Daphnia pulex: one gene and its partner. The protein of the gene in region 2 interacts with the protein of the main gene of each other region in a biochemical or structural test. Links are inferred from orthologs where the notes say so. Each region holds a gene or a part of one and is shown on either strand. Other genes may lie near its edges.

Region 1 (4,529 bases), about 950 kb from region 2:
ATCTGGCCAAGCAGTACATGTGTTTAGCCGCCATATTACCACGATTGACCACTAAAAGGATCAACTCTTGCGTTTCTCCAAATTTGATTACTGCGAACGGCGCAACTGGCAGGCAGACCTAATTCGAATTTGAATAAGTGAGAAAGGCTTGTCCTAAATATTTCATTAATTTTAGGGTTAAGGAAGTAAGGCATATCCATACTCTAGTTTAATCTTCATAGGGGCGGAAAGGTAAGGAGGACCTATTATTCTTAAATAACCTAAGCGACACTGTCATTCAGACAGCATGCATGATTTGATTATTTCAGCTTCCACGTCTGAAACATTTATTGTACTTGGGAAGGATGAAACAAATAAAAACGTATTTAACACACCATCCGTGAAAGAACACGCAGCGTTTAAAGGTGAGTTATAAAGATTTCCATTTTCTTCTTCAAGACTTGTTCAGAATTTTCTTTAACCTATCGGATTCTTCTTTATAAATGTCAAAAGTTGGATGAGGCCTATGCACAGAAAAGATAGTTTATACATTAAAATAAATATTATTATTATATATTATTGACAAATAAATGTTGTTACTGTGTGAAGAAGGTTTGCAAAGATTGTAGAGTGCTGAGTGGAATGTTATTGGGATCAACGGTGAGGATGCGTTCCAGAATCAAAAAGAATCCGCTCAGAGGCCAGGTGGGTCGAAATTGTTTATCTTCACTCTAACAAAAGAAATGTTCAATAATAAGATAATTCTGTCATAAACATAGACAATTATGTGGCTGTCAATAACTACCTTTAGAATACCCATGTACACTAGCAGTGTGTTATCAAGAACAGACATCTTATCCATTGACTTGGCCTTTTCGAAAGCCGCTTTAAGAATCGCATCAACGGACTGTTGAACATTTTCGACTGAAGATATCTCCGATCTCAGATTGACGGTCGAGCTAACTTTCATGATGACCTCAGCGTAAACGGCAAATAATGCATCGGGCTTGGCAGCAATCAAACGCTAAAATACGGAAAATCTATCAAATGAGGTCACACAATTTTTTGTATTGCGAACCTACGTCGACATGTTGAAGAATCAATGAGCTTTTCTGGTCACCTAACCCATTGAAGCGAGCCAAAGTGGGTGCAGCAAGTAGTGCCTCCACTGTCGACTGTTAAGATAGTCGTAAAATAACATTCAATTACAAACGATTTAAGAAATCTTTTGAATACCGGAATGACTTCGTTTGCAGTTAGCTGAGCCAGATTAGCATTAAGTTGATGCAAAGTGTCATAAGCAGACACATGATCGAGAGATTTTTCTACTTCTTTCTCTTCTTTCTCTTCGTCGCCACTCTCTTCCTCTTGTTCACTTTCTTCTTCCTCGCTGCTTGGTTCACCTTCATCATCGCTTTTAGAAGAAAAAAAGAAGAAATGAGATCGCAAATTTTAAAGCATATTGGATTGATGGTTTTCATACCTTAAACTCAGCAAAACCTTTTCACCTAAGCCACTGAAGATATCCTTGAGCTCCTGACATCCTTCTTCACCGAACTGATTACCGTTTAGATCACATATTTTAAGCATTTTTTTGTTTTTTAAAGAATTAGCCAATAGCTTTGCTCCACTCAAATTGATTTCGCCATGATCCATATAGACTTCCTAAAGTACGATCCAATTAATACATAGATGTAGAATTACGAAACGCCATATTAAGGAATTTAAACATATTGACATCAACAAAAATTACCTTTAAATGCTCATGTCCGGATGACAATGCCTTGGCGAGGAACTCAGCCCCCTTGGTACGGATCAAACAGTCTCCAAAGTTTATAACCGACAATTGCTGCCATTTTGGAAGAGCTTCTGCAACAGCTTGTGATCCTCTCCAGGTGAACGTGTTATCATTAAAGTTAAGAATTTTCAGGCCAGGGTTATAAACAAGCGCACTGGCCAATGCGAGAATACCAGGATGTCTTATAAAATTTTGAGGCATCTGGACTTCTTCCAAGGTTCCAACTGCCTAAAAACAAATATGCTGTAATTAAAATAATTAAATAATTACTGAAAATAAAAAAAACAGTGACCTTGAAAAATTCTGACAGAGCAATCGCTCCTTCATTTTCAAGTCGATTTCTTCCAACAATGAAGGTTTTCAGACTCAATGGAGAACCAGCCTCTTTACTGGCTTTAAGACAGTCATTTAAAGCTTGGGCAAGCATCTAAAGTAAAAGGTAGCAGTATTATGATTACAAATAAATGGAATTTTAGTTACCCGTCCACCATAAATTCCAAGGCCATTGTTGTTTAATCTTATACATTTTAGAGAATAGCAGACAGGGCTTTTCAAAAACTGAACAAGACCTTCCATACCAACTGGACCTAATGCATTATCACTCAAATCTAACTCAATTAAGTTAGCTTTAGCCAAAATGAGTCCTCCTCCTAAGAAACTCTATTTAAATAAACGGTGGTTAATACTGTTAATCGTCACATGCACCACAATCAAATTACCAAAGCTTTTGGAATTTCATCTTTCAACCGGCCAGTAAAAGCATCTTTCCACAGTGCTCTCTGGAAGGTTGGTTTGGATTCTAATGCTTTGGCAATAGCCTTGGCGGCTTCAACACCAAGAGTGTTTCCTTCAAGGATGAGACCTGTCAAACCTTTTGCAGCCTGAATTGCATTAACAATAGGTTGGGCTGTTGAAAAATTCCAATAAAAAGAACTTTAATCCCATTTATAAAGCAAACATAAAATCAGAACAAACCGTCGGCTTCCGTATCTAACTTGAGTCCTTTCCCGCTAAAATCTACTATTTCTTCTTTCGCATTCAAATTATTGGCTTCAGAGTCTCCATTAAACTTAGTCACTGCCCCATTCATTTCTTCGAAGTTGTTGGATGATTTTTATCAGGTTCAACCAAGATGACACTCTAAAGTGTAAGTGTAGTATTATTTTCTATTGAGACAAAAATTCACGTGTCTAATTTGAACGCTAACAGTCGGTTTATCGACTCCCTCGTACCCTCGAATTCCCAAGCAGAAATTTCTCTTTGTGCAGCGTTTTCACATTTCAAAAATAGGGTAGGCCTATTGACTTTAGAAAAATGAATTGTTAATTACTATTCATAACTAAATTTACACCTAACAGTATTTAATATTATTTTTAATTTAAAAAAATCAGTTGTATCAATTGGATTTCTGGCAGCATAAAAAAATTTATATGGAATTGTTTTTGACGTTTCTCCAACAGTCTGCTGTTTAGTCCTCTCAATCAGCAAAAATTTCCCATCTGTTCTGTATTGGGCCAAATAAAATCTAGACTGGTTCCTCTGTAAATATAAGAAGGAAACCCCTGTTAAGTTTTCCCAAATTTGTAGATCTCGTATTTGTGGAGCCGACATCATGATTAAGCTTTTTTCTCTTAAACAACAAAAGAAAGATGAAGTTCCAGGTCGGGCAGGAAATCAAAAGAAAGCATCCGCTGCCCAGCTGCGTATCACCAAAGGTCTATTGACTAAAAACAAGTTCTGACCTTGTGACCCGTGTTCCATTTATTTTAATATTTGTTATAATGTCTCGTAGATATTAATGAGTTAAATCTACCCAAGACTTGTCAAATGGAATTTCCTGACCAAGATGACTTGCTGAACTTCAAATTAATCATTTCTCCAGATGAGGTATTACGTATTATGAAATGCAAAATATTTATTTGATTTATAAAACTTTTTTATAATTATTCTGTTACAGGGTTTTTACAGAGGAGGGAAATTTTCTTTTAGTTTCAAAGTTGGTCCTGGTTATCCTCATGAACCACCCAAAGTGAAGTGTGAGACACAGGTGTATCACCCGAACATTGACCTTGAAGGTAATGTGTGTCTTAACATTCTACGAGAAGACTGGAAGCCAGTATTAACAATCAACTCCATAATTTATGGTCTGCAGTACCTTTTCCTGGTGAGCTCTTTTTCTCAGTTCATTGAAATCCATCTTGTTATTAGTAGTCCTAAATTCCCTAGAATTGATGTATGTTGGTTATTTTATTTCACTGTTCTTGTGTGATTTTCAAGGAACCCAATCCAGAAGATCCATTGAATAAAGAAGCTGCAGAAGTACTTCAAACAAACCGGCGATTATTCGAAACAAACGTCCAAAAATCCATGCGAGGGGGATATGTTGGTTCGGTAAGCTAAATTACTTTGAAATCATATTTAAAAATAACACAATCTTGTTTTGAACCTAATTGGGGAAAACAGGTTTATTTCGAACGATGCTTGAAATAACATCCGAATCAGATACAACAAAAAACGAATGGCTCTTTTCAACTTTGATTTCAAACGATTTTTAACATGGAAATTTTCATGTGCAGAAAAAATAAACATCCGCGTGTTTTGCGTTCCATCATTAGTTTTTTATTAAGTTTCATCATTCAGCTGTAATTTTTTCTTGAATATCCATCACCGTTCTTTACTCGATATACGGAACGATACACGGTTCAAGCAGAAGGAGGAAGGGAATGGATGACTAGGCTTTGCTACTGATGAG
Region 2 (4,439 bases):
ATTCCCTCTCTTCAGACTCTTCTTCTTCCTCAGTGCTGTGACCATTAGCGATAGACAAGTTGGTTAGACTGCCTAACTTAGTCTCGACCTTTTCAATGACTTCTGAAAGTTTTTGATCTAGTGGATGGAAACGCTCCATTCCAGGACTACGAAGGCGATCCAGTGTGATGTAGAACGCGTCTCTTGATTTGTTCAACAGTACATTGGCTGCTGATCTTGATTCGTACACGGTTGCTCCCTTGCGTAACTCTTCTTCCGCAATCTCTTTGAAGAGGAGCCCTTGGTAATATGAAGCGTACGGATCAGAGATCGCCTGTAGAAGACGAAGTGCTTCTTCACGTCGACCAGAACGCCACAACTGGTATCCAGAGAAAAGTTTCGCCTCTGATATTAGGCCGTCAATATCAGCATCTACTGAGCGAAACTCGAATAGTCGTCCTAGTGCGAGAGATTTGATACATTGATAAAGCTACTTGCGTTTAGAGATTAGACAATGATTTTTATAGATTACTTACCAGATAAAGGGGGAGTGTATCTATTTCCTGTATTAGCCATTTCAAGAAAGATTTTCCAATAACGAGTCGCCTGACTTTCAAGGGCCTCTGTTTGTTCAACTGTCATCACATCTGTGGAGATAGGTGCAGGTACGTCAACGGCAGGGAACACGCGGCTTTTCCCAGCCCTGGCCACAAATGTTCGAGCGAGCTTGGCCACGAGTTCCAGTGGAATCCCATGTTGGTTTCCAGACAGACGGATGACCTCCAAACCTCGTTGCAGAGTACGGCGCAGCTCACTTAAATTTTCTTTAGCCGATCCCGAGATAAGTTTGATGGCAGATTGCCACCAGGCCGACTGCTGGTCTGTGCACAGCGATTTTGTCAATGCAGCAGGCACCGTTCCAAACACCTTCGAATCGTTTTCCTCCAAGGAGACGGTGCTGTAAATTGAAGCATACACGAATGACTCCATGTCTAGCGCAGAAAGAGTCTCAGGTGCGCAGGAATTCCAGGACGCTGAAGAGAATGGGATATCGCGCATGAAGCGTGAAGATGTCAAGATCTGACTGAGATCTGATGCAAAGTCAGTTTCATTCAGTCTGCGATGCATGGTAAAGTATCTTAAGCCCAACCAGACCACTGGATGTAATTCGTTAGAATAGAGCTGGAGGGCGGTTTTATCAAGTTCAAGCAAATCAGCAAAAGAAGGTAATTCCAGTTGTTCCTTGGGAAATTGAAATTTTTCTCCGAAATAAGGGCGCGTTGAGGCGCCACCGAAGACGGTTTCAAACATCTTGCGTCGTCCGTCAGGATTGTCACACCTCTTGACAGTGTCCACCACCCATTTACGACCTTCTCTGCTTTCCCAGGCGACGATGCAATGGCCACATTGACTCTGACGGTATCTGGCAGTCACAATGGTTGAATCTAGAAGTTTTTTGTCGCCAAACTGATTGGGGGTTCCAGTTGTACCCTGGTTGTAAGCGATGGTGAAGAGAGTAGCAGCATAGCTCAGGGCTTGGTACTCATCTTCGAGGCCGGCTAGAGCTTTCAGAAGAACGACTAAACCAGCTTGAAAGTACAACTGACACGTAAAGTGTACCAGAATATCTCGCTGAACGCCGTTTTCTTTCGCTAGTTGTAAAGTGACGTCCAGTGATTGCAAGGTCGGTAGTACCTCACCGATAGATTGGGCTGATTTAAGGCCTTTACCAACTCTAGAAATCTTAAGAAACGATAGTCGGTCTACAGCATTCAAGTAGTGGAAGTAGAAATCAGGCCCCACTTTGTGGTCCAAAAGCTTCTTGTAGGATTCAAGGACATTCAGAGCACAATTGTACCAGTCTAGCTCTTGACTAAATACTTGAAGGGATTCAATCTTGAGCATATGTTCATAAGCTTCCTTGACTCTGTTTGAATCAAGATACAACTTTAAAAGGTGGATACGAAGCTTCATGTCACCTGGTTTGCTGAGCATTTCATTTTTCAGTTGATCTTCCACTGCTCCTTTTACTTGGGAATTTGATGACAGCATTAGCCTCTGTCTCAGCTCAAACACTACACTGTGCTGAGGCTGCAATGCTTCAGCTCTCTCCAACCAGCATTGCTGAAGATCTCTGTTGGCTGGGCTGGTGGGTAACTCACAAACCAAACTGCAGATCTTGAAAACCAAATCTCGTTGACTGCTATCAATATCAAAAGATCTTTTGTATGATCTGACAGCTGCCTCTTTTTCACCTAAAGACTCTGCAATTTGGCCAGCCAGGCGATGGCCTGGAGCTGAACACTCCTTAATTGCAAGATATGAAGCTAGATATTGTTTGGCTATCTTGTGTTCTCCAATTTGATGATAAGACTTGGCAAAGTTGAAGCCAAGGAGTTTTCGCTGTAAGAAAAATATAAAAAAGTTTTCATTACACATCATTTGTAGGCACAAGCAATTATTTTGATAAACTATACTAAAATATTGACACAGTGTGCAACATAGACAGTCAGAGACGAAATAAGTATCTGGAAATTCAATACCGCAATACTCAAAGGTCAACACGAAACTGTTATCGACTAAATTTTAAACCGGCTTCTCTAACTTCGTGAAAATCAACCTGAGTTAAGAAACGTTGATGCTCACCTCATTTTCGTTGTTCACTTTCTTCTGTAGATCTTGAACATGTTTGTCTACGTCTTTCTTGGTTCGAAGCATTTTTCTTTTAAAAAATTATCGCTTCGATCATCACACAACTCGAATTACTAAATCGGCCACTTGACAATTTACTGGATTTCCGATTGAATATGGAGGAGCTAGTGGTGGCGCAATAAACTCTCTAGTTTCCCTCGTGTGGTAGGATCGTCGCTGTTGCCAAGTCGCCATTAAGTCAATCGAGCCCTGTTCCCTCCGAATTTATTCAAATTCTTTTCTATTGCCAGATTGCTTTAAATATGTACAAAAGCATTTGCGCGCGATTTTGTTTTCGACAATGACTCACTCATTCGATGACAATGACAAAAAAACTCGCTCTGAAATCTTGGAAAAAAATAGTGATTCATTTTGCGTAAAAGACTAGTGCAATTATACAATCAGTACCAATAAAACCAAGCTAGCTACATCAGATATAAATAGAGATAAAGGATGTCGAATAATATTAAGGTCCTAAAGCTAAATGCATTGATAACATGGTCCGCTAATCGGAATGGCTTGGAGTCTAGCCGTAAATATTTGATTTCTCAACTTGTGTCTCGTTCCCGAACCTTAAAAATATAACCAGACGTATCCCTTCAACTAGTTATTGATCAGGCCTTTGGAAACGTGCCAGATAATTCGCCTTCACCAATGAGTGAGAAATTTTTTTCTCTTAGTGCCAAGTAATCAGTGAATTGGCAAGGAATCACAATCTTTTATCTTCATATAGTGGGCCTATAGAATTCGTTTTCACTTGATATTTTTTCGTTGAAAATAATAAAATTTACGAATAAACGACAATGAAGTGTAATTCTAACTTAACAAAATATGCACATCCACAATAAAAAACAATTCACACATCGATTAATTTCTGCAAATTAAGGCATAAACTTTGAAATTTAGTCGGGTCTTTCTTAATGAGCAAGGGATTACGCTGGAACCAGGCTTCCGTCATCGAACGAATGTCGCTTTTAACGCGTTGGTTGTTGGACGCCAAAGAGATCAGGGCAGTGACGGCCATTGTAGACGAAGCAATATCGACATTGGCTGCATTGCCCGTTAAAAGGCGCACAAAGAGAGGAAGAACGTTACTGGCCGATAACAAAGGGCTTTTGTAAATGTTGTGGAAAGCCATGTTACGTAAAATGGATAGGGCGTGCTTGTCGGCGCCGTAAGGATGTGATACCACGTCCACAAGGGTTTGGGCAACTCTGCTATCCATCAAATCCGGCAGAGACGGTTCCGGGAAGACTGTCAGAGCGGAGAGAAGGCGAGCTCGAAGACGAATTAGCGATGTCAGAGCCCCGTGCTGCTGACGGTTGATGATCCTTTTAAGATAAACCGGATGCCAAGTTTGAGCTAAACTGTTCCAGTACTTGTATTTGGCAAGGATCCGGCGACATTCAAGAGAAGAAACGGAAGCTAGAAGCAACTCGTGGATAGCCTCGATGATATTCCAATCCTCGTCGCTGATTGGCGTCGTTTGGCGAGCTACTAAAGCTTCCTTTTCTTCCAAATAATCCATCATAAGTTTCAGTAATACTCGAACTTCTTTTACGGTTTCCCTGCCAATTAGGATCTTTTCAAAATTTACCATGTAGAGCAGTACGGTAGCGATGGTTTCACGGCTAGTCCTCGTTTTCCAAATTTCAATAAGTGGAGCGAAAATGCCTCGCTGAAGCAATTCGTGTTCGGCTTCCGGGTGACGGAGCACGAAATTATGAGCCAGACGGATCAATACCGCCAGGTATTTATCGCTGCAATGG

The links.
Region 1: the proteins of E3 SUMO-protein ligase RanBP2-like (region 2) and ran GTPase-activating protein 1-like form a complex in vitro, tested with the Homo sapiens proteins (5 studies listed by BioGRID and IntAct, with this or other methods). The link is inferred for Daphnia pulex from reciprocal best matches to the Homo sapiens genes RANBP2 and RANGAP1.

Annotation. Positions count from the first base shown.
Region 1 is NC_060024.1:11,932,129-11,936,657, reverse strand, and holds ran GTPase-activating protein 1-like, read right to left. Parts: upstream 3,032-4,529; 5' UTR 2,868-3,031; coding exon 2,753-2,867; intron 2,685-2,752; coding exon 2,497-2,684; intron 2,438-2,496; coding exon 2,258-2,437; intron 2,205-2,257; coding exon 2,070-2,204; intron 2,006-2,069; coding exon 1,733-2,005; intron 1,645-1,732; coding exon 1,463-1,644; intron 1,394-1,462; coding exon 1,216-1,393; intron 1,155-1,215; coding exon 1,062-1,154; intron 1,004-1,061; coding exon 785-1,003; intron 711-784; coding exon 580-710; intron 504-579; coding exon 434-503; 3' UTR 295-433; downstream 1-294. Other genes in the region: NEDD8-conjugating enzyme Ubc12, read left to right, coding at 3,390-3,492, 3,570-3,664, 3,735-3,941, 4,055-4,168, 4,241-4,267. UniProt on the Homo sapiens protein: GTPase activator for RAN. Converts cytoplasmic GTP-bound RAN to GDP-bound RAN, which is essential for RAN-mediated nuclear import and export. Mediates dissociation of cargo from nuclear export complexes containing XPO1, RAN and RANBP2 after nuclear export.
Region 2 is NC_060024.1:12,885,844-12,890,282, reverse strand, and holds the start of E3 SUMO-protein ligase RanBP2-like, read right to left. Parts: upstream 2,862-4,439; 5' UTR 2,698-2,861; coding exon 2,626-2,697; intron 2,383-2,625; coding exon 516-2,382; intron 439-515; coding exon 1-438. Other genes in the region: uncharacterized protein LOC124199486, read right to left, coding at 3,527-4,439. UniProt on the Homo sapiens protein: E3 SUMO-protein ligase which facilitates SUMO1 and SUMO2 conjugation by UBE2I. Involved in transport factor (Ran-GTP, karyopherin)-mediated protein import via the F-G repeat-containing domain which acts as a docking site for substrates.